3 linked regions of the Rhinolophus ferrumequinum genome follow. The protein of the gene in region 3 purifies or fractionates together with the protein of the main gene of each other region. This does not show direct contact. Links are inferred from orthologs where the notes say so. Each region holds a gene or a part of one and is shown on either strand. Other genes may lie near its edges.

The links. The genes of interacting proteins can lie anywhere in the genome.
Region 1: the proteins of ZC3HC1 (region 3) and CUL1 purify together in Homo sapiens (affinity purification with western blotting; 3 studies listed by BioGRID, with this or other methods). This does not show direct contact. The link is inferred for Rhinolophus ferrumequinum from reciprocal best matches to the Homo sapiens genes ZC3HC1 and CUL1.
Region 2: the proteins of ZC3HC1 (region 3) and PLK1 purify together in Homo sapiens (affinity purification with mass spectrometry; 3 studies listed by BioGRID and IntAct, counting the BioPlex papers as one, with this or other methods). This does not show direct contact. The link is inferred for Rhinolophus ferrumequinum from reciprocal best matches to the Homo sapiens genes ZC3HC1 and PLK1.

What each region holds. Positions count from the first base shown.
Region 1 is NC_046309.1:4,749,497-4,759,837, forward strand, and holds the start of CUL1 (cullin-1), read right to left. Parts: upstream 4,435-10,341; 5' UTR 4,293-4,434; intron 4,189-4,292; exon of another isoform or gene 4,079-4,188; intron 3,978-4,078; exon of another isoform or gene 3,814-3,977; intron 1-3,813. UniProt on the Homo sapiens protein: Core component of multiple cullin-RING-based SCF (SKP1-CUL1-F-box protein) E3 ubiquitin-protein ligase complexes, which mediate the ubiquitination of proteins involved in cell cycle progression, signal transduction and transcription.
Region 2 is NW_022680357.1:17,554,376-17,564,951, reverse strand, and holds the start of PLK1 (serine/threonine-protein kinase PLK1), read right to left. Parts: upstream 4,435-10,576; 5' UTR 1,117-4,434; coding exon 709-1,116; intron 83-708; coding exon 1-82. Other genes in the region: DCTN5 (dynactin subunit 5), read right to left, coding at 9,531-9,628. UniProt on the Homo sapiens protein: Serine/threonine-protein kinase that performs several important functions throughout M phase of the cell cycle, including the regulation of centrosome maturation and spindle assembly, the removal of cohesins from chromosome arms, the inactivation of anaphase-promoting complex/cyclosome (APC/C) inhibitors, and the regulation of mitotic exit and cytokinesis.
Region 3 is NC_046309.1:16,463,375-16,474,009, reverse strand, and holds the start of ZC3HC1 (zinc finger C3HC-type protein 1), read right to left. Parts: upstream 4,593-10,635; 5' UTR 4,548-4,592; coding exon 4,402-4,547; intron 2,467-4,401; coding exon 2,355-2,466; intron 1-2,354. UniProt on the Homo sapiens protein: Required for proper positioning of a substantial amount of TPR at the nuclear basket (NB) through interaction with TPR.

The DNA of each region.
Region 1 (10,341 bases), about 12 Mb from region 3:
TGGGCCACGTGTTAAGACATGGGGGACAGACACGCACCCCACGGTCCCTGCCCTAAAGGAGGTCTGTCTAGTGGGAGAAACCACCAAGTCCGGTCAAAAGATTAAGGGGTTCATGGGATCCCAGGGAAGTCTCCTAGCCTGGGTTGGGAGGGGGGTGGTATCAGGGCCTGAGCTGAGCCCTGCCTTTTTGAAGGAGCAGGAGCCTGTTGGGTGCCAGGAAGGGACATGGAACCCCAGACCAAGGAGAAGCATGAGTAAAAGGAGAGGAAAGAGCAGCGTGGGAAATTCGGGGAACTGGTGCTGCAATGACGCGGAAGCGGGGAGTGGGAAGCCTGGGAGGGGACTCTGCCTACTTGGTCCAAGTTTCCCCAAGGGGAAAAATTTAAATGACTTTCTAACTTAGGCTTCACAACTCTGCTTTTCAAACATCAATAAGATTATGCTTTATAGGACAGTTTTCCAAATGCTGTTAATGTTAAAAGCTATGACATCCCCATGGAATCCACAGGCTTTGAGGCCTAAGGAAATCTCAAACAGTGTCAATTAAAAATCATCTATCTCTTCTTTTTACAAATGAGGAAATGGAGGTCCAGCAAAATTAAGCTCACACTAGATCCTATGTCTTCTTCCCCAAGCAAAACGTTCTATGGCTAAGCAAAAATAAAACACAGCTTTTTTAGAAGCCAGAAAGTATCTGTGTGAATAAAAACTTTACAAGTTATTAAGTGTTATAATAATGATGTTGTTTATGCCGTGCATTATTAAACGTATATGTTATAAACAGGGAGCTTGAAGGCCTTAGTAATAGAAGAAACTTAAGGTTTTATTTAAATCTGATTTATTTTTCATATAATGTTCATTTCTCAGTTTTGAAAAGCAAACAAAAGGGCACACCTTACTGAGAAACTCCCAGATATCAAAAAAAAAAAAAAAAAAAAAAAAAAACCCACACAAAACAGGCAAACTTCGAATTGGTCCTTAAAAATAGTACACTCTTTTCTCCAAACATATCTGAAAAACAAGTTCAAAATTCATCCCCAAAAGACATTTTATTCTAGACTGACTCGATTGTTGAGGGTAGGAAGCCCATGGCTTTGGGACTATGGAGGGCTGAAATAGCCAAGAATACACACACATTCCTAAGTGTTTGGGGCCCTAATTTTTAATTTTGAAGAATGGCAAGTACCTCAATTTAAAGCATATTCATTTTAACTTCCCATGCTGAAAGAAAGGTACACTATGCCCGCTGGGTAAACTAGGAGTGAACTTCTGATACAAGGTCCTCAGGACCCAAGAATGGTCCCCCCTGTAAGAGCTGTCACAGCAGACTAGTACCACCACTGGGGTTGCCTCATGTCTACGTATAGGCAAGAACCTCAACCATCAAGCCATTTCATTTTAAAGTCAAGGGTGCAAATATCTACCGGGAAAAAGAGCTCGGTCTTTTTCTTAAAAAATAGACAAAATCTACACCTTAAAACCAGCTGGGGGTTAGCAAATTCAAGTTTTAAAACTTGTTTTCTTGGCACTTTCCTGGATTGCAACAGCTCAAGAAAACCTGAGCGTTTTTTCTGTTGGGGCCCTCTATTGGATACTGGAACACTACAATAAGAATTATAATAAAACTTGCCTCTTTTTTGTTTTTCTTTTCTTATTCTTTAAAGCTTGCATTCTTTATTAACCAGTGTAAGTGCAGTGATTATTCTCTGCAGCCAAAATCAGAAGTGGTCAAACATTAGGTTGGAATTTTTCCAGAAGATTTACTCCTTCAAAAAACAACTGAGTTACCCATGACCAAGTCCTATGCTACTTTGGGGATGCAAAAATAACTAAGGACGATCCCCTCCCTTCGAGGAACTCATAGTCTGAAATGCACGGGAGACAATTAAGACACAAGATAACATTCAGTAAGAGGCAGAGGAGTCCAAGAAGCTGTAATAGCTAAGGAAATTGCAGTATCAGCTCAGGCATTCATTTGTCCCTTGGTCCTCTTGATACTTTATCTGATAGTACATTAGGAGAGGAGGGGCATGCTTGCAAGGACCTGAGCTTGTGATCTTACACAAGGAGGGTGGATTTCATAAATTAGCTAAAAGTTCTAGTATAGTTAAAGTCTTTTTTTTCCTTTGGCAAAATAGTTTTTAAAAGATTACACCAATGAGAAAAAAAAAGTTGAAACATTTTTAGAGAATAATTCAGCCAACCTTCTTAAGCTTAATGAGCACTCCTGAAACCTCCAAAAATGGTCATAATAGAATTAAAGGGAGCCAGTCCTGTGTTTGCAGCTTCGGAATGTGAAATGTGATGCAACGATGTCCAATTGCCATAGAAAGCAGAAACAGAACTTTCAAGTAAAATTTTTTCTAATATCCAAGAACCTTTTTTAACAAACAAAAAATCTCATATCCTATTTTTTTCTAAACCCAATGATTGCTCTTGCTTTTTAATCATTCTCCTTTGCTACACAACACACAAACTCTCCAGGGTTTCAGAAAGTCAGATGGACAGGGTGGCCACAAAAGGGAATGTTACACTTAAGATTGCACACCCATCTGCTGAGTGTAAAGATATGTTTAGGTCCTAGAAGCTCAGGGCTTAAAGTAAAAGTGACTTTAGTTCCCCTCTGTCACCCAATAAGTGCCTTTCAAAAACAGCGTGACCATTTACTCGACTAACTTGGACTGTTTTAATGTCACCCGGGGAAGACCCATTACACAGAGCAAATAAATACCTAAGTTAACTGCAATTCCGTATTTGCACGCTAACCACTAACCCCAATTACGAACTAAAAGCAACAGCAGCCATCCAATCGGAAAACAGAATCCTATTTTCGGCACAGGGATCGCTAGAGAGAAAACCCTTAACTTTGGAGATTCGTCTCCAGGAACGCTCATAAAGCATGTGCCTTTCTCTTGACCATCATCGTGTCTACAGTGCGCCGCGCTCCCCAGGTGGCAGAGAGCGCCCCGGGGCCGCGCGCGGGTTACCTGCTGGGTCAGCGCGCGCTCCCGCCGGGCGCAGGTTCGGGGGCGCGCCGAAGCCGCGGCGCGGGCCCGGCCCGACGCGCGAGCGCCGGGGGGCTCCGTCCGGTCCCGCGGCTGCACTCGCATCCCTGCGCGCCTACCCGGCCCGTTCCCCCGAGGGAACGGAGCAAAACGACGACTATTACCCAATAATAGTGACCTGCACAGTCGCAACAATGCAGGCGGGGAACCGAGAGCCGCGGGCAGGGAACCGGAAAGCAGAGCGGCCGGCTCCGCGGCTCCCCCGGCGCGTGAGCCCACTACTTATTGGCGAGCACGAGTCGGGGGAAACGCGACGCTCGGGGGGGAAGCGATCCCGAGGGGAAAGGGCACGAGGCCCCGTGGGGGTCGCCGCACGAGGGGAGGCGAGGCGCGCATGGCCGAACTGCCCAGCGCCGCCCGCCGGCCCAGCTCTGCAGCCCCAGCCCGGTCGCGGTGGGGAAAGAGGCTGGCGCCACAAGGCCGCCGGCGCCGGCGCGATGAATCGGGCTTTTTCCCAGTGCGTAGTCCAGGCCTGGCCGCCCCGAGCCCGCGTCCGGGGCCGCGGCCCGGCCAGGCCCGAGCCGGCCGCCGTGACTCAGGGCCGGCCCCGCTCGCTCGGCTCCCGCCCCCAGCGTCCTCCGCCCACGAGTCCCCCTGCCCGGCCGCCATTCCGCCCCGCCGCGGCTCGGCGACTCAGGCCTCGCCCGGCGCCTGGGCTCGGCCGCCGCGGCCCCAGTCACTGCGACACCGCGGCTCCGGGCCGGGCCTGCGCCGCCCCTCTCCTCGGCCCCGGCGCCGCGACACTCACCCGCATGTCCCTGCTGCCGTAATGGCCCCGGCGACGTCTCCACCTGGTCGCTGGGCCTGGGCCCCGGTTAAATCCCCGTCCCGCCAAGGTCTGGCTGCGTCCCTGAGCCGCCGGGGCTGCCCCGCCTGGAGCTGCGTGCGACACGGCTCCCGCCTCCTCCTCCTCCCCTGCCCGCCCGCGGCCCTCCTCCCGCCGCCGCCGCCTGCACCGCGCAACCTCCGCCCTCTCGCCTTTCCTCCCCGGCTCCCCGCCCTCCCGGCCTCACCGGCTCCGGCTACCGTGGGGGAGAGGCTGGGGGGGGAGGGCCGGAACGCACCGCCATCGGCGTCCGGGGCGGGGGAGCCGGGAAACCGTCGCCGCCATCTCCCCACCAGCCCGAGCGCGGGAGGGGCCCGGAAACCTCCCGCCCGCCGCGGCCACTGCCCCGGGGTCCCCCGTCCCGCGCCGCCCGAGGCTCCGCTCGCCTGGGGGATCTCTACCTGAAAGCCGGGGCCCCTTGCCCGGAACCCCGCGCCGTCCCGGGCCGGGCGGACCGGGTCCTCCTCCAGGTTTTACAGCCTCCCTCGACAGCGGGCCGCCTCTTAACGACCGGCTTCCCGCCACTTCCGACCCAACGAGGAGGGGTCACCGCTTTAGGTTCGGGACACGGACCTCTGGAGAAAGTGGCCCAGTACACCCCGAAGGAGAGGGTCCTCCACCTCCTCCTGCGCACACACACACACCCGGAACCGACTTGGAACACGGCTACAACTACACCCAATCAACGTGCCTCCCCGGACCGGGACTATTACCAAAGAATATCCCCGGCTGGCTGATGAGACCGGCGGAGATGGGCAAGTGGCTCTGAAAAGCAGGCGCAGACGTCGGAGAAGCGTGTAGTCCGCTCTGGAGCCCCTGTTCACCTGAGGCCTTAGCCATCAGCACCTGAAAGCCTGAGCTTTTCTGAGCCTCATTCTCGCTCCTTAGAATCGGTTCTAAGATAAAACTATACGACGCTTCCCGCTTCAAACTTGAACCAACTCTTTGGGGGGGGAGGGGGCAAATGTTGACAAAGAATCACTTTACCATTACTCTTTGTAAAGACAAATCAAGGATAGAATTTAAGCATTTACATAAAAGGATGGCATGAGGTGTGACTAAAACACTATCTTTTCCACGTGTAGTCTGAAGTAGTTAATTGCATTCACTTGAAATTGAACTGTCACCGTTGGGGACTTGGAATACTCTAAATACAGACTTTGGCAGCACCTGGCTTGCTACGGTGCCAGAGAGAAAGCATGGGCCTTGGAGTACCATGGTTCACAACATGCCAGAGAGCTGGCTAATTGCATGAACAAGCAAGGAAGGATTTCAAATGATCCTATCTGGGCAAAAGACACGATGAGTGGAACTTCCTCTAGTTTAGTTTTGCTCTAAACTAAAACAGTACAGATATTCTGGTACACCTTGGGGTAGCAATCCTAGGCCCTGAGCAGAGGGCCACCCCCAGAGTCCAGTTTCCTGAGTCACATGGGCTTCTCTTAGGAGACATGTCCCACCAGTATATGTGGTTCCTCCTATTGAAATGTGGCCTATTGTCAACATCTGTTAAATATCTTCAGAAGTGTTGCGTTGTCTGCACTTGTCACCAAAGTATGTAATCTCAGTCTGTGCAAGGATGTACAATTCTTGGTTTATATCCTATACTTCTATACAACCTAGTCAAAAGAAAATTTAGATGTATTGAAACAACTTTGTTTATGGGCACATGGTAAGACTAGATTGAAGGTAAAAATGGAAGACTTGTTCCTGTGGACAGCGCTTTCCACAGAACATATATGGCTTTTTTTATATCTTCATTTCTTCGCCTATTGGAACCTGTGCTTTCCTCAGACAACAACTTACCTCCATCTTCCCTAACCTGTCTTCTCCACTCTCATCATTCAATATGGTCTCCCTGTCTGTGACTTCCCACAGTTAATACACTAGTTGAGTGGGTCAGCGTTCCCTTTACTATTTCTTTCCGCCACCTTCTATTTTTGCCTAATGGCAGTATTTAGTCCACTTGTGCCTCCACTTCTCACCACCTCAATTCCTGGTTCTTAACGTCCTTATATCCCCTCCTCTCCACCCGTCTACATCATCATTCTTAGCAATTAGACTGTTCCACTGACTTTTATGCACTTCACAGCCAGGTTGCATCTACACTACTTCCACTCTGGGCGGATACTCTTGCCTCGTACCTGATGGATCCAGGGCATCTACTTTCCGCTGCAAAACCTCTTCCCTCCATCTTTCTCCGCCATCATAGCAAAACTGATGTCCCTTTTTAAGATGACCACAGTTAGGAGGGATCATTAATTTGATAGATGTCAGAATCAAAATGCAAAATAGTCTCAGATTAGACTATTTAGCCAAAACCAGTGAAATAATAGAACTTTACAAGTCCCAAATGATATGATGAAGTTCAAAAAGCCAAGTTTTAGATTTAGGCAGACTTTGTTTTATACTCAGACTCAAACTACTATCTTTTGCTCTAGTAACTGTTAAATAGGGATAAAAAGATCTACCTCCTAAGTGAAGAGTAATTCCTTTATAATTCCAGCATAATTTCTGAAAACTCACTGTTAGTTCCCTTTCTTTCCTCACCTACCATTAAGTGGTGGTCCACTGACTCCCCTACTGCTATTGATAACACTAACATTTTCTAAGTCATAAGGGCCTGAAGACTCCAAATCCTGACCCACTGACCTTGCATCCCAGAGCTAGTCCCCATCATAGAGAAGTCTTTTATTTTGTCTCAGTCTGGGTGGCAGACATCATCACACCCATTTTCCAATGAGAAAAACCTAAGACTTGGAGATGTTAGACAATGTGCTCCAAATCACTCAGCTTGGTCAGTGACATCACCTGACTCCCAAATCGGCATATATCCACTCCTGTACTATGATATTTCCCCACACCTATATTGTTTCTTTAACCTTCTGAGTAGTTTTCCTGGTTCTGATCTCTGCCCTTCCAGCCGCCTGTGCAGTGACTGACTGCAGATGGTTCTTTCCAGTGACCTTCATCATTGTATCTTTGTCCTTTGAAACTTTTCAGTGGCTCCCCATTGTTTACAGGGTTCAGTCCAAACTCTGACTTGGCACTACCATAATAATCTTGTCCTAACTTACTTTCCCCAATTTATTTCCAGCCACTTTCCAAAAGGATCTCTCAACTTCATCTAGGTCTATTGGGCCTACATTTGGCCTACAGATAACGGCTTTGGATCGCCACTTATGAGTGCTTGCTGACATTGGTTCCCCTAACAGAAATAGTTCCCTCCTCCTTTCCTGCATCCGCAAATCATGCTCCTTTTTCCAAATCCAGCTCATGACCCCTCCTAGGAAGCCCACTTTGCACCTTCTACCCAGGTTTTGTGATCTCTCCCTGAGTACCAGCTTCTCCTACGTGCCTTCTATGTGCCTCCTGAAGTTGCCTTCTGCGGATCTGTGCTTTGGGCCAGGCACTATTTCCTAAAGTACACCAGACCCCTCGGCATTGTGCCTGAAGAACACTGAAGAGTGTCCAAACATATGTGTTTACCAATGAAGTGAAAGGGTACTGCGTCACTTGACTAGCCATATGAGCTGTTATTTCTAAGACATGAGTAAGGAACTAGCTATCCCGTGCAAAGTAAATTCATTTGATGCGATAGTTCCCAAACCTGTCTTTGCTTCAGAATCACCTGGGGACTTGAATTCTGATTCCAAGGCCCATTCCAGATGTACTGAGTCAAAATTGGGTGGGAAGGGGTGGGGAGGAAACCTGAAACTGCCAGAGTTTATATCCTGGTTTTACTATTTATTACCTGGGTAACTGAGCAAGTTACTTAATGTCTCAGTGCCTCAGTTTCTTCATCTATAAAATGGGGATGATAATAGTATCTCATATGCTGTTGCAAATTAAATACTTAATAAACATTGTGAAGATGATGATGGTGATGATATAATTACCCAAGGTCAGTCTGGTGACCTGAGTTTGGGAACCATTGATTTAATGAACCACTCCTTCTGTTAAAGTTTTAAATGTTATGGCCTTAAAACTTATGGTATTAGCATTATGACATATTACAATAAGACTTATTTGTTTTGAAATAGTGTATGTTAAGGAAGAGGATCCAAGTAAACAGATTTTTCAATTAAATTTGTTTTTTTAATCCAAATCATGCAATATATATTATGCGGGATTTTTTTTTTGCAAAACTAGTTTCTCTTAGAAAAATAACTACACATATGCTATAACTATACAGAGTCATTCACAGCTTAGTATTCAAAAGATGCAGGCAAGAGATGAAATAATACCATGATTTCTTTCACTTAGGACAATGAGTCATAAATTCTTTTTGAAGGAGCAGGTTTTTAAATCCTCTACTTGAATTCGTTAGAAAAAACTTTCAAAGCTCCTTTTGGTCCATCAAATGCCAAATAAACAATATTTTAATGATGTTAAATGTAACTAGATATAAAATAGGAAGCAGAAATTTACTTACCAAAGTCACTAAATATGTATCGATGGGGAACAGAGAATGGGTAGCCCCACCTTCTGAACTCTTGATTTATAAATGGCCTATACAAACAAATACAGAAAGGGCTTGTTTTTAACAGCTTGAAATTAACCAGATTCCCTGTATTCTCTCTTAAAGACCCAAATAGCTCTGGGAGGGTAAACAGGGCTTAAGTGTCATTTACACATCAGCATTAACTAATTCAGTCAGGTTGCCTGCTTTCTAACACAAATCAGCTCTTAAAGAATGGAGAGTTTGGGGTAATTCAAGTTGGGGAGAACCCTGAGGACCTCAGGGGAGGCACCGGCCTTGGTTGGGTCAGAGGATGTAAGGAGCAGAGCAGTTAGCAAAGGAAGGGAATGAGGGAAGAAGAGGGAACGATTTAAAAATCTAATCTGTCCAGTTTCAGATTTTGCATATTGAGAAGTCATAAGCCTCTTGCTTTGGGGACCCATAAGACAGAAAACACTGTTCTAAGATAGTCATGAATTAATGAAGCTTTTGAGGTCTGCCCTGGGCGATCTGCACACCCTTGTAATGTTCTATTAGGTTGGACCATATGGAATTGCAACTGACTTTCAAATAATTCTACCCGGTCTGTATAAGATAATTATTCAGAGTTCTAGAAAAGAGTCCTAAAATCCCTTTTCCCGGGAAGCTTTCTGCGACCCTTCCACACATCAACCCAGCCCCATGCTCATAGGTGGATTAGGAATCCCACATACTTACTTGTACTAAAGTTTATCAATAGGGCATTACGGTTTTCCCCTTTTCTATCTCCTCCTCCCTGACAGATTGTGAGCTCCTTGAATTCAGAGACTGTGTCTTTTATTACTATATCTGGGGTATTTAGCATAGTGCCTGGCACATTGAATACTGAAGGGACAGTTGGAACCCAACTCATACATTAGTTGGGATTATTTGTACCATGAAACTCAGCCATGCTACGTTCCGGCACGAAGACCTTCTAATTCCCCATTTCCTACCAAAAGAATGTCAAGCATTTCATTCCTAAAACACCCTCTACACTTTGGCTTCCACAGATCCATCCATACTTGTCTTCCTCTGGTTTCTTATACAGGAAGTCCTCACTCAACGTCCTCGTTGATCGGTTCTTGGAAACTGCAGCTTTAAGGGAAACCCCATATAGTGAAACTGATTTTACCAGAGGCTGATTAACAAGAGTTAAATTCTTACAGCATATTTCTGGTCACAAAAACATCACCAACTTCTAAGTAAAGACCCACTGCTAATAGTAAACATCGAAATACATGTGAGCTCCACATACATTTAAGAAAGATGACTAAAAACAAGATTATTTTCCACCCCGCTTATTCCAGTTCAAGTCATGGGTAGCTGGAACCTCTCCTGGCATATCCACAGGTCTGATTTTTCTACCTGTTTGCAGACCCCTCTCCATGAATGTCCTTCATATTTTGAATCATTTGGCCTCAAACAAAGCGTACTATTCTTTCTTGACCCCCTGACTCATCTTATATCTTTTCCTTTGTTTTCTGTCTCTGGTATTCACCATCAACGTAGTCACTCAAGTTAGACACCTCAGGTATTTTTTATTGTGCCGTCTTTTTCACGTCCATGTCCATTTGTTCATTAAATCCTACCAAATTTAGACGTGGATTAGTTTTCATTTGGACCGTTCAATGGCCTCCGAGCTAGTCTCCCTGCCTCTAGTCTCTCCTTGAATTAATTCATCCTCACACAGCCATGGAGTTATCTTTCTGCAGTAATGACTTCCTCAAGAAGTGCGACAGCATGGGAGCCAGAAGACCTAAGTTTAAATTTTGGCTCCACCGGTTACTAGCTGCTTGACCTTGCAAAAGTTATTTCCTTGGTCTATGCCTCAATCTCTTCACCTGTGAACTGGGACTAGTGCACACTTTACAGGATGGTTTTAAGAAAGAAGTTAGAACGTTTTGTGGTGCTGGATACTTGACACATCGGAAGCATTTTGTATATTACTGTCATTATTGTATTGCTCT
Region 2 (10,576 bases), on a different chromosome or scaffold from region 3:
AGCCCAGGACAATCTGCCGTAGGTAGTAGCGGGCCTCGGGCTCGGTCAGGGCTTTCCTGCGTTTGTGCAGCTCCAGGAGAGACTGCGTGGGGGAAGGGGAGAGGAAATGGGGGGTCGCCACCGAGGTCCCAGGGCGGCGGCGGCAGCATCAGGTGAGGGAGGCCCAGGACCCCCTCCCATTTCTTCTCCAGGACAACCAGCCTCTGGCCTCTCCCGAGCCTGACCACAATCGTTCAGGGCAGCCCCTCTCCCACTAGCTCCCTGACTTAGGACGCCTATCTCAGCTCCCCTCGGCCTCTTGGCAGCAGCAGACCCCTTTGCTGACCCTCCCAAGTCTGGCCCCACCCACGGTCTCCCAGATCCAACGCCACTTCGGAAGCTCCCGTCCACAGCACCCCTTCCCGGGGACTCCACCTTTAGCAATCCGGAAGCCCTCGGGTTCATTACCAAGGTTCCCCCCAAGTGGCCTCCGCCCTCGCCCACACGCAGCGTCCAGGAGCCACCGTCCCCAGCAGCCAGCACGACCGCGGCTCACGTCACCGGAACCCCCTCCCCCGGCAGCTCCAAGCTCGGCCGAGACGTTTCCCACCTCTAAGCTCGGGGTTCCCAGCACCTCCTAGCCCCGGGCGCCCCTTTTCCGGCAGCTCCGGGTCGGAGCGCCCCAAGCCCGGCCCCCAGTAACCCCAGTGCCCCCGCAGCGACACTCACCCTCCGGCGGCAGAGCTCCAGCACCACGAACACGAAGTCGTTGTCCTCGAAAAACCCGTGGAAGCCCACGACGTGCTGGTGGGCGAGGCTGCGGTGAATAGATATCTCCATGGACATCTTCTCCTTCTGGTGCGGCTTCAGCAGCAGCGACTTGGGCACGATCTTGCCCGCGAACACCTCCTTCGTGTCCGCGTCCGAGATCTCGAAGCACTTGGCGAAGCCGCCCTTCCCCAGAAAGCGGCCCCGCAGGTAGCGCCGCCGGCTGCGTGGGTCCACTAGGACCTCCGGGATCTCTTTCGCCGGCGGGCCGGCCGCCGGGGCCCCGGGAGCTGCAGCTCCGGGGCCCCCGGCTTTCCCTGGTTCGGCTCCTGCCCGCGCCAGCTTCCCTGCAGTTGCCGCCGCGTTCATGTCCCCGGAATTGCTCAGCGGCCCTAGCAGGGTCTGGCCAGAGGTTTGACACCGCTCGGCTCCTCCTCGAATTCAAACGCGGCGCCGGGAACGTTACAAAGGCCTGCGCGCTACTGATTGGCCGCGGGGATTTAAAATCCAAACCCGCCCGCCGCGCGGCACTCTGGGAGCGCTCTGCCCGCAGCAGCCTTTTAACCTCACGCAGGCGGGCTGGGGGGGTCGGGGCAGGACACACGACCTTGAGTGACGGGGGCTCACCCACAGCAGCCACGTGGGGTGGCTGGGCAGCCAACCCGAGGAGAGCGGGAGTGGGGGGTTTCTCCCTTTCTCCGCCGCCTGGGACGCTCCTGCGCTCACAGGCACCTCCTCCAGGAAGCTTCCCTACACCTTCCTCCACACCCACCCGCCTTCTAGAACTTAACCTCCGGATACAGACCGGGCAGCGCCAAGAGGTAGCCTGGGAGAGCCTTGGCACAAGCCTCCCACGCCATCAGCTCTCTCCTGCGACACCCCAAATAAACTAAAACCGAAGCAAAACCAGGATGCTGGCCAGGAATTTGCACGTTCAGGGCAAGGCCCCTCCTCCCGTCCTGCCAGCACTGGCTGCTCCTGGAACCTTCTGGCTTACGGAGCAGCTCTACTTAACCCGCGGTGCAGGGGCCGCCGGGATCACCCTCACCTGGGAGCTTGTTAGACCCCACTCAAGGCCCAGGGCAGACCTGCCGGGAGAACCTGCCTTTCCATCTGCCTAACGAGTCCTACACACACACAGGTTTCAGAAGCACCGTGCAGGGCTCCACCGTGCCAGCAGGTCTGGCTTGCTCAAGGCTGGATTTCCCAGTGCCCAGGGAGCAGACCGGTTGGCACAGTGCCTGGCAACCGGTAGGCCGAGGCCAACTCTGGCTCCTCCCTTTTTAAAATGACTCATTTTACAGCACTCAAAAATCAACAGAGCTCACATAAAAATCCAGGTCTGTGGCTTTTCCTGAAAAAAGCTAGCAGCTCTGGCAATGCTATGCCTCCATACTTTCCCAGCTTGTCACTGGTCCCCGCTGTGGCCCCTTTGCCCCTTTGACTGTCTGGCTTCCATAGATACATGAGTGGCAACCCTGGCAAATCACCCAAGTCAGAAGCCCTTCTCTGTGTCCCTAGCGCCCCACGAGGCGTTTGATGGAGCCTAACAAGAACCCCCACGTTCTGAGTCGCTCTTTAGCTGCCTCCCAACAAACTGAGAGGAGGTGATGACGTCCCTCCTACCCCATGTCCCAGGCTCCCAGAGCAACGCCAGGTAAAAAGGGGTGACAAACGTTTGCTGAATAAAAGGGAGTTTAAACAAAAAATTAAGTTATTATTCTTTATCCTCGTGGTGTGTAGTCTTCTATTTCATCTTTTTGTTGAAGTTGATTCTACGTACAGAAAAGGTGTACATATCATAATTGCACAGCTCGGCGACGTTTCACACACTGGACACACCCATGTAAACAGACTGAGAAAGAACGCTGCTGACACCCAGAAGTCCCCTGTGCCCTGTGTTGGGGGTCCCCAAGGCCACCTCCTCGTTTGATGACATTACAGCGAAAGACTAGGAAGCAAAATCAGCCAGGGGAAAGGCACAGAAAGCCAAGTCCGGAGGGAAGCAGGCACAGGCTCCCCGGAGTTCTCTCCCAGTGGGGTCACACATGTTGAATTCCCCAGCAATGAGCTGTGACCACACATGCCAAATGGTGTCTACCAGGGGAGCTGACTCGGTGCCCAGGGCTTTACCGGGGCTGCTCACGTAGCGCCCCCTGCCGGGCACACCGGATTCCAGATTACCACAGGAAAGCAGGTATTCAACAAAACCACAGTCTACACACACAGCTCAGGCAGAGTGAGCTGCTCGTCCTGTAGGGAACGGTGAGAAGCCTCCCCCAGTCCAAGTTCCCAGGCGCCAGCCGAGGGCCAACCCGCAGCAGGCCTTCGTAAGGAGAGCAGCCTCAGGCCTGCTGTTACCTTTTCTGCAAGCTCACCCCTTGGCCCAGGTGCCTTTGCACCAGGATCACACAGAAGGGTCAGGCCAACCTGCAGGACTGATCTCAGTACCTCTTAGGGTCCTGGATTAGCCAGTTAAAATCAAAGAACCCCGCTCACCATAAAAGCCCACCTTCGAAAGCCAGGTGGCCTGCTCCTTGGTCTCTGGGAGTCGTTTTACCCCAGGCACTGAGGCCGGTACAGCACAGCTGTGGCCAGGGAGTCCGGGCTGACCTGCAGCCTGAACCAGCATGGTGATGGGCACACACAGTGTGACCCAGAGGACACATGCAGCCCCCCAGAAACGAGCTGGGGATGTTAGGGTACCCCAGGAGGGACGTACACTAGTCAGGCAGCAGAGGTTCATAGGTCCCCCGGGACGCCTCCCTCCTATCATGGGGCCCTGCCCTGGGGTTGCCAGTCCAGTCTGAGAAACTGGTCCAGTCCTCGGTTTCCGAGGGACTGCATATGGGGAGCCTGCGGGAGCCCAATGGGAGCCAGTTCCACACAGTGTTGCTTGCCCAGGATACCAGTTTATCCATCACATGAGTGTGGATGGCACCTGGAGGGGATCTGCGTGGACAGTAAGGTCATGGTGCTGCCAGCTGTGCCCCCCAGGTCGTGCTCAAGGGAGGGCTTCCAGGAGGAGTTCTGCAGAACAAAGATATGAAATGCCCTCCACCTGCCCAAGGCTCCCCGGGGCCAGGTTTTTGCTTTTGCTCCACTGTTACAAAAGCAGCGTGTCCGGCCCATCCGCAATCCTAAGTCTGCATTTGTCAGTCACCTCTTACTCGAATCCAGGCCTTCCATCTGGAAGGACTGTGCGCAAAAGGCATAAAAGCAAGTAACCAGAAAGACGTGTTCAGGAATTGGTCAAGATGTGCTATGCACTGAATTGTTGTCCCCCAAAATTCACGTGCTGCAGCCCCAACCCCAATAACTCAGAACAGGACTGTATTGGAGATGGGGCCTTTAGAGCGGTGCCTAAGATAAAACGGGGTCCTTAGGGTAGCCCTAATCCAATATGACAGGTGTCCTTAGAAGAGCGCAGGACACAGACGCACAGACAGAGGGGTGACCACGTGAGGACACAGGAGAAACCAAGGACAGAGGCCTCAAGAGAAGCCAAACTTGCTGACACCTTGATCTTGGACTTCCGGCCTCTAGAACTGAGAGACAATCAATCTCTGCGGTTGAAGCCCTCCCGTCTGCGCTATTTGGTTACAGCAGCCTGCGCAGACTCAGAGAGGATGAAATCCTGAATTCTCAACAATTTCAAAAAGCTTCTCCATAACCTCCTCCCCCTTTTATCCAGAGAGCAGCCTAGAAAAGACGAATCGCCTCCTAGAAACAGCCACACTGGAGTAATCAACCTACCTTACCCAGTGTCTGTTCCAGGGAAAGTGGGGAGGCAGAGTCAGGCCATTGGCCGCTGTGCCAAGTTGCAAATAATCCAGAAGCAGAACAGTGAGCTGTTCCCCAGAGGGGGCCCAGAGGCTCATGTGTCAAAAGCAGGAGGAGGGGTCACAGTCCCCACGATGTGGCCTCCCCCGATTGGCAGCTTTTGGCAGGGATCACAACTCAGGATGCAATTCGCCTCTGCAGCAGAGAGAAACGGCCGGTCAGCAGCTTGATTTCAAGGGTCCCATCAGAGAACAAACCCTTTGCTGTGGGCATCTGTATGTGACCCAGATGGTCCAGCTGGCAGCTGCGATGTGTGTGTCCATGATTCCGAAAGGTCCTAGGTCTCCTGTGGTCCTGGGCCTAGTCCAGTCCCGCGCAGATCCCGGGGAAGCAGGCACAGAGCATGGCGGCCGGTCTGTTTTCAGCTTCCAGTCAGGCCCCACCAACCAGGATCAGTGAATTCGGGATTCCCAGGGAGCCAGCGGCTTTTCTTCTGCAGCAGCAGAGGCAGAAGCTGAGTGCCAGACAGCCATGGTCCAAGCCCAAGTGAGAAGCGAGGCTTCCTTTTCATCTTGTCAGTCTGAGTCCAAACTGACCCACTCAGAAATACACACATCCGACTGGACAGCCATCAACCAGTCTGGCTCAGACATTAGATTTCATTCAGCAAGGGCTCAATAGCAATTCGACTGCTTTTTCAAATTCCAAATGTGTATTTCCATCCAAGGATTGACTCTCTTTTCATGTTGTCTCCCTTTCCAGAGGCTCCAATAGACAGAAACCATGCCAGCAAAAATCGTCAGTTATGGAGACTTGCTCTGGTTCCACTTCTCAAAGAATTTAAATTCTAATTCACTGGTGGCAAAAAGCAAGACAGCCGAATCCCACCGTGCACGGAACTGACCTTCACAGTCCCTATACATGTTCCCCATTTGATGGACGAGACATCTGAGGTTCGTCGGGGAGACAGCTTGTCCGGACGTGCAGAGCTGGGAGCTGATCTGCCATGTCCAGCGCCCACGCCCTTCAGCACTGTGATGGCCTTTGGGACGCAGCTCTCAGCCTCCACGAGAGACCGCTCGTGTGTCTCCCACTAAGCTGTCCGCTCCCGACGGGCAGGGCCTGGCTCCATCTCCTTCTCCACTGTGCCTCCGGGACCCAGGGCAGTGCCTGGCACTCGGCAGAGGCTCAGGGAACTAACTGTTCACTGCATGACTGAGCGACGCAGCATGAGCCGGCTCTATCTTCCCTGCCCTGAAGGGCAGCAGGGCGCGGTCTACAAAAGCACAGCGCCGCCCCTGGGGGCTCGACAAGTGCTTCTGTGACCATGGACTTACGGGAATGGGTCCAGGCTGGGAGAGCATTCTGCTGACACCTGTTTTGAAACCAGCAGGCCTCTGGACATATTGTCCCCCCACTGCCAGTGCCACTGCAGCTCCCCAGCCCTGCAGCTCCTCAGACGCTGCCCCGGAGATGAGCCAGCTCGACCTGCCCCGCCACTGCAGCCGCCCAGGTGTGCTGGACAGCGGCTCAGGGCGTCGACGTGGCTAAGGCGCCAGGTCCTGGGCCCACTGTGGGCTCTCACCAGCCAGATCTGGATGCTGAGACAGAGCTCCCCAGCCACCAAGTTCCCTTCTTTACGGTGAGAAACTCCCAAGGACGCACTGTGTAGGAGCAATGCTTGTCTGAGTCATTTCAAGTCTGCCCGCACCCAGGTGGGTCAGAGTGACTAAGAACTGTGGCCTCAGGCAGAGTGAACTGGCTCACTCCGGGATTCAGAAGCCACCACAGACGCCAACCAACAAAACGCCCCTTTTTGCTTAAACCACTTCAAGCTGGATTTCTGTCACCTGCAGCAAAGCCTGCTAACTGGATTTCTGTTTCATCTAGTGAGTGTATTCTTTACAGAGCGCCAGCCACACGGTACAGAACTTCAGACACTATTAACAACTGCAAGCAAGACAGTTCTCCGGAGAAACCTGCTCCCATCTAACGACTCAGACCCCAGTTGCAGCTGTAAGACCACGGGGCACAGTGTAAGGACACTGCCCTCTCAGAGGGGACACGAGGCTTCCTGCCTGGGGCAGACATCGCTGGATGGTTCACCCCAAACCCATCCCACCCCCTTCTCCTTGCCTGCCTGAAACACCCAAATACGCATTTTCTCAGCTTTCTGCACAGCAAGGGCTGGCGGGGTGACACATCTAGGGCACTGAGAGGCGTCACAACAGGGAGGAGGTCCAGCCAGTGACTAGGAGACAGGAGGTCCTGCCTGAGCCTCTGTTCCTGGGGAGAGTAGGTGTACCTGCCTCGCAGTGGTTGCAAGGAGTAGGGGATTCATATACGGAAAGGAGTCAGGAGGCTACCTGGCTGTTTCTAATCCTGTGTGTGGCAGTACGGAGCCCTCTCTAAGACACAGCGAGTCACAGCAGCCAGAGCAAAGCGGCAGCACCGGTGTGAGTGCGACAGAGACACCCCGTGTGCGCACGCAGACCGCCTGGCAGGAGAGCCCAGAACCTGCTCGGCGGCTGCCTCTGGGGAGCAGAATACGGGGCTGGACGCGGGATGGGTCCACCGACTTCAGTATTGTCCCTGCTTTCCTGCCTGGATGGCACTTTTGGAATCATGTACTTGAATGACTTAAAGATTTTAAAATTCTATTTAAGAGGCTCAAAAAATAAATTAATTAATTTAATAAAAAACCACGCCCCATGTTCTCTTTCTTTTCTTTTCTTTTTATTGGGGAAGGGGAACAGGACTTCATTGGGGAACAGTGTGTACTTCCAGGGCTTTTTCCCAAATCAAGTTGTTGTCCTTTCAGTCTTAGTTGTGGAGGACACAGCTCAGCTCCAGGTCCTGTTGCCATTGCTAGTTGCAGGGGGCGCTGCCCACCATCCCTTGCGGGAGTCGAGGAATCGAACCGGCAACCTACTGGTTGAGAGGATGTGCTCCAACCGAGCCATTCGGGAGCTCAGCAGCAGCTCAGCTCAAGGTGCCGTGTTCAATCTTAGTTGCAGAAGGCACTGCCCACCATCCCTTGCGGGACTCGAGGAATTGAACTGGCAACCTTGTGGTTGAGAGCCCACTGGCCCATGTGGGAATCGAACCGCCTTCGGAGTTAGGAGCACGGAGCTCCAACTGCCTGAACCACTGGGCCGGCCCACACCACTTTCTCTTAATTTGGGTTGTTCACCAACAAATTGGATAGTCAATTATATGTCAATTATATCTCAATAAAACTGCAAAAGTAAAATTGAAAAGAGAATGGACAGTTAGTCACATAAAGCGGCGAGGTATTCACACACAGACGGGACGGTGATGTGTTGCATCACCTGGAAGATTTCTCTAGGGAGCAAAAGGGTGTTCCGTCAGCCTAGGGGGCACCTGAGCTCTGCCAGCCCCAAGATTCACCTTTTTGGTGGCACGAAAGGGGAAAGGAGCTGGCGGAGAGGCCGGGAAATGGCTGAAGAACCTGCACCCATCACAAACTGCTCGTGTCGCACAGGACGCAGAGCAGGTGTGCTCCAGGGGCAGGCGTGTCCCGTCTCACCAGGGCAGAGCTGAGGGCCTGGGCAGTGGAACCAGACCTGGGGCAGCCCCTGTACCCCAGTACCTAACATTCTCCCCTGTAAATGGAGCAACAACCACCTGACAGGGTTGGTGTGAGCCAGGAGCGGGCCAGTGATTGAAAAGCCTGCAGCGGGCACCGGGCACGGAGCAAAGTGCCCGGGAGACACAGGAAGCCATCACTGGAGGGGGACAGCTATCACCTTCAAATGACTCGGTTCATGTATCAATCTTTTAATGTACAAACATAAAAAAACTGACAAACCAGGAACCAGTTTTACATCGAATGAGTGGCGATCATTCCGTTAGCCAATTCTGCAAACCCCACAACCGGATACTGAGCCAAGATCCGGCTTCCAGGCTGAGCTGTCCCCCCCGTGGCAGGAGAGTCGGAGCGGAGCCAGGCCGCCGTCCTCGGGCCTGCACGTCCATGTCCATCGTCTAAACCGAGAGGTCAGAGCAGAGCCGGCAGGGTTGTGCCATCAACAGAAGGTGATGCCAACGGCACTCGCAGCCTCACTTACTTGGGGCTCGGGGTGCGGTGCCCACAGAGCGACTGTAAGAGGCCCCCGCATGTGCACGTGACTGGGCCCAAGTCGGCATTTCGGTCTGACATGCAGGTTCCGGCAGATGCAGGGGGAGGTGACTGGCTCCAGGCCAGGGGACAAGGTTCGCCAATGCTGCGTCTTTGTCGAAGCCGTGAACTGCTGCCCCCAAACGCGAGGCCAGGAGCGGCTGCCAGAGCGGTCCATCCACATGGGACTTCGAACCCGGACTTTGCAAAGCTAAAATCCGGGTGCTGCCGGCCACCCTATTAGTGAAAACTAAAGGCCCTGGAACAGAACGCTAGAAAGTCACCCTCAGTTAGAAGACAGTTAAGGTCATCAGGGAAGGAACGCTAAGCACCCATCCTTCAGGCTTCTGTAGCCAACAGCACTCTGCGCTCTGGAAAGCCACACACTTTTGTTTTCAAGATGATGAGAAGTTGTGACGACGCAGCAGGAAGCTGGAACTGGCCCGTGGGGCTGGGGAGCGTACGACGCCGAGCAGCACCCCTGCCCCCCCCACACCCTCTGTGCTGCGACAGAGCTCTCAGCGTGTGCCAGGCAGGGCCCAGCGCCCACCCAGCGCCCAGGGTAGGAGTGCAGGGGGGCAGAGGAGCCTGTCCCACAGATAATGGCATGAGCGACTGTTAATAGATACACTTTAAGCACAGCATTTGGAGACAACTCCTCCGGACATTCTATTATTAAAGTCTTAAGAGCTTCAAGCCACGGAGGGCTGAGAAATTCTAAAGAATTAAAAAAACCCAAGAACAACCGAAAAGGAGGGGTGGAAGGTGTCAAAGACACAAAAGCTCTTCGCAGATGCCGACTGACGCACCGCCCCAGCTCATCTGAGAGCCCAAGCGAATGCCCCACGCGAGGCAGACATCAGACCTGTGTCAAGGGCAAGAACTTCTGGTAGTAGCTCTTGGTGACGTCAATCATCAGCTCCTGGGTGCATTCTGGGAGCTCCCCTGAGAAGAGTCCTGGGAAAGAAGGAGCCGGTCAGCACGAGGAGCCGGGAGGCCTGCGGCTCCGGTTTCTGTGTGAACCCAGAGGCCCTTTCCTGGGCCTCTGAAGTCACCAGTGCTGAAACCTGACGTCAGCACAGGTTTCCCACCTGTGGTATTAACAGACGATTTCCACTGACCCTGTCTCCTAGATGACGTGAATTTCCGTGTGTTGTGGGGAGACAAATGATACTGCTCCCCGAATGGAGAACTCTATGCCAGGTTCAAGAGGTCAGCACATGATCGCATGGCTGACTACTCGTAAGCCAGAGATTGTTCCAGACACCGATCTGTCCACCCCTGGGGTCTGGGGTGACACCTACAGGGCAGGGAGCATTCCCGAGGTGAGAAACCACCCTGCTATCCAAGATGCCCGCATCTGCCAGACACAGAAACGTGGACGGGAGCAGAACAGAAATGTCCTGGAAGACAGGAGATGGAGCAATTGTGCTGAAGCATTCCCGGAAAGATACTCTCCGACACCGCGGGTGGGAGCGTCAATTCCTACAACTGTTCTGAAGAGCAATGGAGGAGCGTCTATTTAAATTTGTACCCTGTGCCCTGCCGACCCAGCTTCTAAGGATTTACTCCACAGATAATCTCGCCCAGTCGCACCATATGTGTACAAGAGCTCGCGAGGGGCACTGTCAGCACGGCGGAGAGGTGATGTATTTACTTCTCTCGCGTGGCCTGGACCGATCACTGGTCTCAGACCGTGTTTTGTGTTAACTTTCGACTTGGGCTTCCCTGGGCAGGGCAGGAGGTGTAAGCTCAAGGCCCGGCCAACGTGAGGGTGAGGCCCTAGTGAGAATTCTCGGTATAGACTTTGTTTTTCCACCCAGAGCCCAGGCCAAGACAGACGTGCTTGTCTGTGCTCTTGCTGCGCTGGGGGCAGGTCTGTCCTAATTGAGAGAGGAGCCTTCC
Region 3 (10,635 bases):
CCACTCTTACCTTCCAAAGAATAATCAGTATAATTAATAGTATTCTTCATTATGGCCCCTGCCCAAAAGTTACATATTAATGTGTGTGTGTAGTCTGTGTTTTAAATAGGCTGAGGGCACCAAGAGCATCTGTAAGCATGTGCTTGGGATAATGTCCTAAAACATTTCTTGATCTTTAACATTCAACACTCAGCTTTTTATATTTCACCCAAAGAGCTCTTATTTTACAGAGCACAGGAGGAAAAAAGGATAAAACATGAAAGGAGAAGCAGGCAAGTTCTATATTTTTATAAAGAATATGGGAATTTGAAAACATTCCAGTATCAGCAAAAGGAGGACTGAAGGCTAGAAAACAGAATTTAGATGTAAATGTGCAAGGAGCTGGGATTATCGAGAATAAAATGGAATTACTTAATTAGCTTAAGTTAAATAAATGATTATCATATCTGAAGTGGTGACCAATTTATATCCAACAAGAACAAAAGAGAACAAAAGGAAATGGTTCTAAATACTGTATTCAAATCAGAAATTGGTCCAGGGGACAAATGAAGCATCAAAATATATAATGATAGTAATGGAATATAACTCATTGAATAAAAAAGGAAATCATGAGCCCATGCTGCTACAAATAAATTATATAAAGTTTGATGAGGAATGAGATATTTACAGTTTCAAAGCACCTCCCCACAAAACACTTTTTTTTTTTTTTAAGGAGGGCGCAGCTCACAGTGGCCCATGCGGGGATTGAACCAGCAACCTTGGTGTTATTAGTGTCACACTAACCAACTGAGCTAACTGGCCACCCCAAAACGCTTCTTAATTACAAACGAGGAAAGGGTTACTTTACGATGGAGGAGACTGACAGACACTCTCTTTATCAAGTAATCAGTGATCATTGCCAGTAAAGGGAAAAGTCAAAAATCATGTGCCACCTGACAGGATGCAAAGAGAACACAGCTCAACTTCTTTGATACTCCTGCATGACCTGAATCTAATCATAAGGAAATACCAGACAAATGTGAACTACACATTTCTACAGAAGTGTGAACTACACTCTACAGAAGAACTGGCCTGTAATTTTCAAAAGCATCAAAATCATGCAATGGAAAGAAAAACTGAGAATTCTCAACTGGATCCATGTGATACAAAGAACATTATTGGGGCAACGATGACATAATTGGGGTCTGAGGGTTAGATGGGATTAACTTATTATGTGGATTCCTTGATTTTGATGGTTACATTGTGCTTATGTAGGAGAAAGTCCTTGTTTGCAGGAAATATTTGGGGGTAATGAGGTTATCACTTTGGCAACTTTTAAGTACTCAGGAAGGAAGTTCTTTGTAACCTGGGCAATCTTTCTGTAAGTCTGTAATTGTTTTACATTAAAAAAAAATCTCTAGTGAATAGAAAATGGCAAAGTGCTGGGATGTCACTTCTGTAGACTATAGAGTCTAGCTTCTCTCTTGTTCTCTCTTGCTTGCTCATTATGAGGAAAGCCAGCTGCCATGCTGTGAACTGTCCCAGTGGAAAGGCCCATGTAGCAAGGAACATAGGAAGGTCTCTAGCCAACAGCCAGTACAGAACTGAAGCCCTCACTCAATCCAACAGCCACAAGGAAATGAATCCTGCCAACAAACACAGGAGCTTGGAAGTGGATCCTTTCCTAATCGAGCCCCATGATAAATGCAGCCTCAGCCCACACCTTGACTGCAGTCTATGAAAAATCCTGAGTCAGAGGACTCGGCTAGCTGTACCTGGATTCCTGATCCACGGAAACTGTGAGATACATGCTTCTTGTTTTAAGCCACTAAGTTTTAGGGTAATTTGTTCTACAATAATAGATAACTAACATACAAAAGAAAATCTAGAAAGAAACAGGAAGCGTAGTATAGTCTCAAAAAAAAAGTTTGGGTGCCAAGAACCTAATCCTGCTTCTGCCACTTGTTAGCAGGTTGACCTTGGGCAAGTTACATAACCTACCTGAAACTGTTTCCTCTTCTGTAAAATGAGTATAAAAAAATAATACCTATTTTCATAGGTTTAAGGTGAAGATCAAATGTGATACTACATGTGAAAACACATTACATATAAATGTTAGTTATTATTTGTTCTCTCAGGCTTAGTTTTTCTTCTGTAAAAGGAAAAGGTTTGATCATCTCAAAAATCCCTTTGAGGGATAACATTTTTGGGGGGTAGGGGGATAACATTTTATGATGCTGATTTTCCTATAAAATTTCTTACCAAGTATACCTCTTAAATTTAAAACATCAGAGTAAGTGGTATTATTCCTGGGGGGGGACAGCAATTCCACGAACAGGCAGAAAGTGCAACTCACATGAACTAGTAAAGGATATAGAAAATGTTTCCACTCTGCTAAAGAAGGCTTCTTTACTTGTAGATTCCAATGGAGGTTGCTCTGCTTGGGGTGACCCATTAACTGACTGGAATGTGGCAGAGGTGTCCTTCCTAAAATAAAGAGGCAGAACTGTTGGTAATCCCTTCATGGCATCACTTTGCCTAAACACTTTGCACAGTTTCCCTGAACTTCATATTATCAATCACACCACTCTGGAGTTTAACCTTTCAAAAAAAATCATTTTAATCATGTTATTCCTCTGCTTTACATTTTCAATGGTTTCAAAATACAGTCGACCCTCTGTGTCCATGGGTTCCACATCTGCGGATTCAACCAAACTGTGGATAGAAAATATTTGGGGAAAAAAATGTTTTTGCTGATGTGAACTATGCAGTTAGGCCTAAGATGGTTGTTTCGATACTGAACATGTACAGACTTTTTTTTCTTGTCATTATTTCCTAAACAATTCAGTATAGTTACTATTTACATTGCATTAGGTATTTTAAGTAATCTAGAGATGATTTAAAGTATACGGGAGGATGTGCACAGGTCATATGCAAATACTACACCATTTTATATAAGGGACTTGAGCATCTGAGGATTTTGGTATCTGAAGTGGGGTCTTGGAACCAATCCCCATCGGAACCCAAGGGACGACTGTAATTACTAAATAGAATCCAAATTCTTCAGTTTGGAATTCAAATCTCTTTACAGTTTGGCCATACCTAAGTTTCAAGCAACTTCTGCTTCCACAGTGCTCCCCTCATCCTCTACTGGCAAACTATTCCTCTAGTTTACTCACTGTACAACAATATTTTGCGTAACTTTAGTAAACACAAAATATGACTCAAGGCTTCTATGCATTATACAATTCGGACCACCTTAGAAATATAATTCTTTTAACAGCAGAAAAAAAAATCTTGATATTTCTGCCTGGATTAACTCTCAATACCCACTTCTCCCCCAAAAAGCACCACTTTGAAAATTCAGATCAAAGTAAAGGTCTTCTGGCAATTTCATGAAAAAAATTCAGGGAGAAAAAGTCGCAAAAACAATTCTCTTATTTTCAGTCAAAGGCATTTCAACAGCACTTGGGGAGTGGTAGAGGGAGGAATGGCTGAAGACAAAAGTCATTTTAATAAAACCAGGATAACACCAACTATTATTACTCAAAAGAAATTTATTGTAGGAATCCTTCTCAGACAGTCACAGAGAGCTTCAGGGAGGTGTGGTTCTTGGAAAAAATTCAAAGGATTCCAGTAAACTTGGATGGGGAAAAAAATGACATTTATTTTACTAACTTCTAATTGAAATTTAGCACTTCCTTCAATTATGAATGAAAGTAATAAATAAAACCATAGTAGCATCAGCAGTACCTGTGAATTTGTCACCAATGGAAATTACAGATATTTTGTCACCGACAAAATGTTGTCCATGTTTTGAAATATTGTTTATGCTACTTCAAAATTATGGTAGCTAATAGACCTATAACTAGATATTATTTAACTTTTTAATAAAGAAGCATGTTACTGCATCACTTTTCTCTACTACCTTGATAACTAAATTCCAATGTAATGGGTTTCCTACTGCATCACTTTTTTTCTACTACCTTGATAACTTCATTCCAGTGTAATGGGGTTTCCTTTATAATCCTATGTAATTTACTTCATACATTGAAAATTATTATTCTGGTAAAGCTTATTATTCATAAGCTTTACCAGGCTCTCAAAGGTGTCTACGGCTCAAAAAAGGTCAAGAAGCCCAAATAAGAGAAGTCAGGTAGGCATAGCTGCTGGTCTTTTTTTTTCCTTTCCCCCGCCAAAACGGACTTATGGCAAAATTCCGCCCGTTGGTGCGGAATCCAGTACAAGCCGAGGAGATTAAAGCCGACTAAACATAGTAACCCCAGTCTCTTTCAGATCTCGCGACGAAGCCATCCATCCTCACCGCGGTTGTCGCCCACCCACGGGATCTCCCTAGGCCTGCGTTACCCAAACCCTTTCCACTCTGCCAGCGCCGGACCCAGGGTGGAATAGCGAACTCACGCTTCCGCGCCTCCCTCTTCCAGAGCAATTCCCTCATCTATCAGCTGCCGAATTTTTTGGGGAGTCCCTTCTGGGGAACGAACAACTGCACCCCAATTCTTTTCAACTCCCGCGGCAAACGCAGGCTCCTCACTGGGCGCCGCCATCTTGGTCCGTTGCCGAGTTGCTTCCCCGTGGGTTTGAAGGTTCAGAAACTTCCGTTCTGGGCGGTTAAGATTCTCCTTGCGGGCAACCTCCCGCGCGATTGGCCACGCGCCCCGCACGCAGAGTCTGACCGCGGAGGCCCACGCCTTCTTGGCCATTTTAGAACGAGGTAAACCCCAACGGAAGGGCTCTGGTGATTAAACCTAAATTAATCGTCCCTTTATTCATGAGCTTATTTGGGCTGATAAAGGGATTTTCAGAGGGCTGTCTCTCCAAATTCAGCAGGATGAGGGGCCCAATTTAGTCCTCAAGTAATTAAGTTATATGGCCTTCCTAAATTAGGTCTTCTTACAAGTGAGGAATTGGCGACTCTCACTTGAGAGTAAATAATTTAGAATCCTTCTTAGAAACTGTGTTACAGGTGGGTTTAGAAGTCTGTGGCATTTGACATTATTGACCACTCCTTCCTTTGTCCAACAAATATTTATTGAGTGTGTCCTACTGACACTGTCCTAGGGGCTGGCAGTGACAGCAGTGAACAAAGGAAACATAGTTTAGAGGACATTGACATCAAATAAATATATTTTACTATAGTTTTGAAATTATGATTGTAAGTGCTTCAAAGAAGAACCAAGGGTATAAAAGGAGGACCTAATTTAGTCTGCAGAGTTTCCTCATAGTGTCAGGTGCTGAAGCTAAAGCTGGTGAGAGTGTGGGAGAGACCTGCTCAGAATCGTACAACATCCCAGATTGCAAGGAGTTTGTTTCATATAATAAACTGAAAAAGAAGACTGTTGTGACTGAGCAGGTGGGCAAAGATGAAAGTGGGACCAACCCTCCCAGCTCACTCCCTCTGGGGTCCTTACTTCAATAATCTTCCCGCCTACCAGGACCTTTAACCTACTGATCTAAGCTCCTTTTCAGTGTCCCTAACGCCACCCTCCTTCTTATTTCTTCTCTCCTTAGCCAGCTTACGTTCATTGCCAATCATTGTCATCCTTCCTTGGTAAAATGTGAATATGGACTGAATTAATATTAAAGAATTATTGTTAGTTTTGTTATATGTGATAGTGGCATTGTGATTACGGTTTTTTAAAAGTCCTTATAAGAGATACATCTTGAGGTTTTTATGGGTGAACTGGTATGATGTCTGGGATTTGCTTGAAAATTCTTGAGGAAAAGAATATGTGTGGAGGAGTAGATGAAAGAAGATTGCGAAATGTGTTTAATTTTTGGATTTGGGTGATAGGCATTATATTATTTTTTCTACTATTGAGATGTTTGGCAACATCATAAAAAATAAATGAGCTAAAAATAATATATTCTTCTGAATATCCTCTCAATTTCCTTGAACCTTTCTTGCTTTATAATACTTCTTTGGCAAAACCTCAATCGCAGTTGAGTTGAGTTCAAGTCTCTACTAGTCTGCTCCTGCACCCAGTTAGCTGATATAGTTAAAGAAAAATTTACGACATGCTGATTTGTCTCTATTTTCTCGACCCCAGTGGCCCTTAATTCTGCCCAGTAATCATACTATACCGCGTTTCCCCGAAAATAAGACCTAACCAGAAAAATAAGCCCTAGCATGATTTTTCAGGATGACATCCCCTGAACGTAAGCCCTAATGTGTCTTTTGGAGCAAAAATTAATATAAGACCTGGTCTTATTTTCGGGGAAACACGGTATTTCCCTAGTCCACTTCCTCTCTCATCTTCATATGTGATTTTTTCTATCTTTCTCCTCAAACCTTCAACGTCTCCACCTAGCATCTTTCCCCCTCCCATCCACAGATGTAGCTTGTTTCCTATTTCACTTAAAAATTTAAGCAATCAGAAGACTTCCACAAATTTCCATCACCTCATCTATTCTCTAGCATATAGAGTATTGGGAATTTTTTAATTTCCCACATTCTCATGGTAACAGCTAGAAATCAGAGCCAGTTTTAAGTTCAATTGATCAATAACTCATCGGAGTGAACATGCTTTTGCAAGCCCAATCAAGGACAACCCTTTGATGCTGAAAATCAACCACTCATAAAGAAATTCACTTCAGTAAGCATGCCTCTGAATGCCAACCAATCAACAATAGTTTCACTTCTACATATGAGGTCAACACACTTAGACCCCTGAAAGTTCACCAATCCCTGAATTCCCATTTCTCAAAATCCAATATAAGATTAGCAGTCTGGTCTGCTTAAAGCCTGTGCCTGACCAGCATGGCTGTCACTGTCTCTAGTAAGCAACGAATTCAGCTTTGTCTTTCATTTCCTATATTGAGTAGTTGTCTTATCATCCTCTGATAATACTTTACCCTCTCTCCTGTAACTAAAGATCAGTGGTTCTCAAACTGGTGCATTTTTGCCTTCCAGGGGGCATTTGGCAATTTCTTCACCCTCCCCTTTCCTCCTCTCCCCCTTTGTTGTTGTCTACAGTGTTTATCTTCCTATAACATAATATATACTTTTATTGTTATGTTTATTTCTCTCCCTGTCCCCATTAGAGTATAATTTGTATAATCTTCTCAAGAGTAGGAATTTTTGTCTTCATTTTTGTATCCAGTGCTTACAACAGTGCCTGGAACAGAGTAGACACTCAATAAATCGTTTTAAAATGAATGTGTATAAACTTTCTAAAGGATTTGGACTTTCTCCTAAAACCCAAACACAGCCATCGAAAGACCTTAAGCAGCACAGTAACGTGAATAGTTGTGCATTTTTGGAAACATCACCCAAAAAGCTATGTGAATAATGGATTAGAGCCAAAAGAGGATCTGGAGTGACCATTAGGAGGTTGATAAAGGAACCCCTGCAGAAGATGATGATGGGTGTGGAGACAGCTGGACATGGGAAGATTCAAGACACATTTTGGAGCTAGAAACAACAGGACTTGGTAATGGGGTATATATATATAGCAAGTGCGAGAATCAGTTTTAAGGAAGACTCTCTGATTTTGGCCTAAACAAAAAGATTTGGCCTAAACAAAAAGAAGACTCTCTGATTTTGGCCTTTTGTTTGTATACATCCATGTATTTCCAGATCCACTCAGACCTTGACATTTAGAGAAATTCCCCCCTTCTAACCCCTATTTCTTTATTTGTTTGTTTGTTTTGTTTTTTGAAGTGAAAGATTGTTCAGGTACCGATGGCAACTCCATCTTTGCTTGAATTTATTTGAAGTCCTTGGATTTTTTTTTAACACCTTTGTGTTTTGTGTTGTGTTTGTAAACTTACATTCTAAAAAGACATTGTGCTGTTTTGGGGGTAAGAGGTCTTCACTCTTAATGTTGCCAACCCAGGGGACAGAAAAATGGCTGTGGGTTAAAAGAATAAGGAAGTCCTGTTAAAAAAATTATAGCAATGTATCCAAGACACATTCTATAAAAAAGAACAAAAGCCATCTGCAGAATATATTCTGTATAATCCCATTTATGTACAAACTAAAATAGAATACCTGTGTAGGTCCACATATGTGTATGTAAGTACATAGAAAAAGATCTGGAAGGGTGGATGTCAAACTGTTAACAGTCTTTTGGAGTGGGGAGTAAGATTGGATGGAGATTGAAGGGGAGAGATTCACTTTTTCTATGTATTCTATTTATGAAAGATTACACAACAAGGATGTATTCATTATTTTACAAATTAAAATTAAATTTAAACACACAGTATAATTATCCATATGGCTATTGGCTAATCTTGGGACTATTACAACTTTACATATTATTAATATTATCTTAATTCACCTCTCCCTGCTCAGTAAAAGAAAACCATTTCTTAAGAATCTACTTTGTGTAGTAAATATCTCACGTTTGTATTGTACTTTATGGTTTGCATCTATTTCTTACAACTCTAGGGGTAAGGTCTTACTTAGAATTTTATTGGCTTCAAGTAACAAAGCCAATTTAACTTAAGCAAGAAGGAGAATTTGGTAGAATAGTATTTCTTAAAATCGAGTAATGTTCATTCTACCTTTTAATTTTGTTTATCCTGTTTTAAACAGAAAAAAAGCCTCCTCCTCAATGTTGACAAGTTATTTTTTATCGAAATGCATACATTATTTATAAGCTCCTTACGCTTATAGTGCTTATAGAACATAAAAATCAGAGTAAACTTTAAATAACCATAAACTCAAAACAATTCACATTAGTAATATTAATTTACTCTGATGAATGATGTTGCTTTGCTGAACTACGATTACCAATGTTGGAGAAAAGTAGAAAATATGTCCCAGTTTAACTTCTCTATTTAATCTGCTTCACAAATCTTTGCCAGAGAGCATTCCTTTAACGTCAGTTTAATGAGATGTCACTTGACATCTTCATAAAACTATCTTGTTCCCTGGTAGTTAAGTTAGTGTTACTGAAATCTTTATCAACTGAGTCTATAAGCCAATTATTGCTGGAATTGGGAATAGGAAGTAATATCTGGACTTCAAGATCAATATTGCAGATGTCAAAAATATCATCTAGCTTTAGCTCAGAACTTTCTATTAGATTATTGGAGGAAATAAATACATAGATGACTCATTCATATAACTTTTTTTTTTAATTTATTGGGGTGACAATTGTTAGTAAAATTACATAGATTTCAGGTGTACAATTCTGTATCACATCATCTATAAATTACATTGTGTGTTCACCACCCAGAGTCAGTTCTCCTTCCATCACCATATATTTGATCCCCCTTACCCTCATCTCCCACCCCCTAACCCCCTTACCCTCTGGTAACCACTAAATTACGTTCCCCAGATTAATTTTCAAAACCCCATGGCCATCTTGTGGTTACTGATTGTTTTATAATCCCTTCACCTTCCCCCTTACCCCCCCCCCCCCCGCCCATCTAGCAACCCTCAGTTTTTCCTCTTTGTCTCCAAAACTGTTTCTGATTAGTTCATTCACTTATTCTTTTCTTTAGATTCCGCATATAAGTGAGATCATATGGTACTTATCTTTCTCTGTCTGACTTATTTCACTTAACATAATGTTCTCTAGGTCCATCCATGTTGTTGCAAATGGTAAGATTTCTTTCTTCTTTATGGCTGCGTAATACTCCGTTGTATAAATGTACCACATTTTCTTTTTCTTTTTTTTTTTTTAAATTTATTTTTAATTTATTGGGGTGACAATTGTTAGTAGAATTACATAGATTTCAGTTGTGCAATTCTGTATCACATCATCCATAAATCACACTGTGTGTTCACCACCCAGAGTCAGCTCCCCTTCCATCACCATACATTTGATCCCCCTCACCCTCATCCCCCACCCCCCAACCCCCTTACGCTCTGGTAACCACCAAATTACGTTCCCCAGATTAATTTTCAAACCCCGTGGCCATCCTGTGGTCACCGACTGCCCTCCAATCCCCTCACCCTCCCCCCCACCCCCCACCCCTCCCGCCCATCTAGCAACCCTCAGTTTTTCCTCATTGTCTCCCAAACTGTTTCTGATCAGTTCATTCACTTATTCTTTTCTTTAGAATCCGCAAATAAGTGAGATCATATGGTACTTATCTTTCTCTGTCTGACTTATTTCACTTAACATAATGTTCTCTAGATCCATCCATGTTGTTGCAAATGGTAAGATTTCTTTCTTCTTTATGGCTGCGTAATACTCCGTTGTATAAATGTACCACATTTTCTTAATCCAGTCATCTACTGATGGGCATTTCGGTTGTTTTCATGTCTTAGCTATTGTGTATAGTGCTGCAATAAACATAGGAGTACATAAAGATTTTTGAATTGGAGTTTTGGATTTCTCCGGATAGATACCTAGGAGTGGAATTACTGGATCATAGGGTAGTTCCATATTCAGATTTTGAGATACCTCCATACTGTTTTCCATAGTGGCTGCACCAATCTGCAATCCCACCAACAGTGCACAAGGGTTCCCTTTTCTCCACATCCACGTCAGCACTTGTTTGTTGATTTATTGATGATAGCCATTTTGACTGGGGTGAGGTGGTATCTCATTGTGGTTTTTATTTGCATTTCTCTGATGGTTAGTGAGGTGGAGCATTTCTTCATATGTCTGTTTGCCATCTGTATGTCCTTTTTAGAAAAATGTCTCTTCAAGTCCTCTGCCCATTTTTTAATTGGGT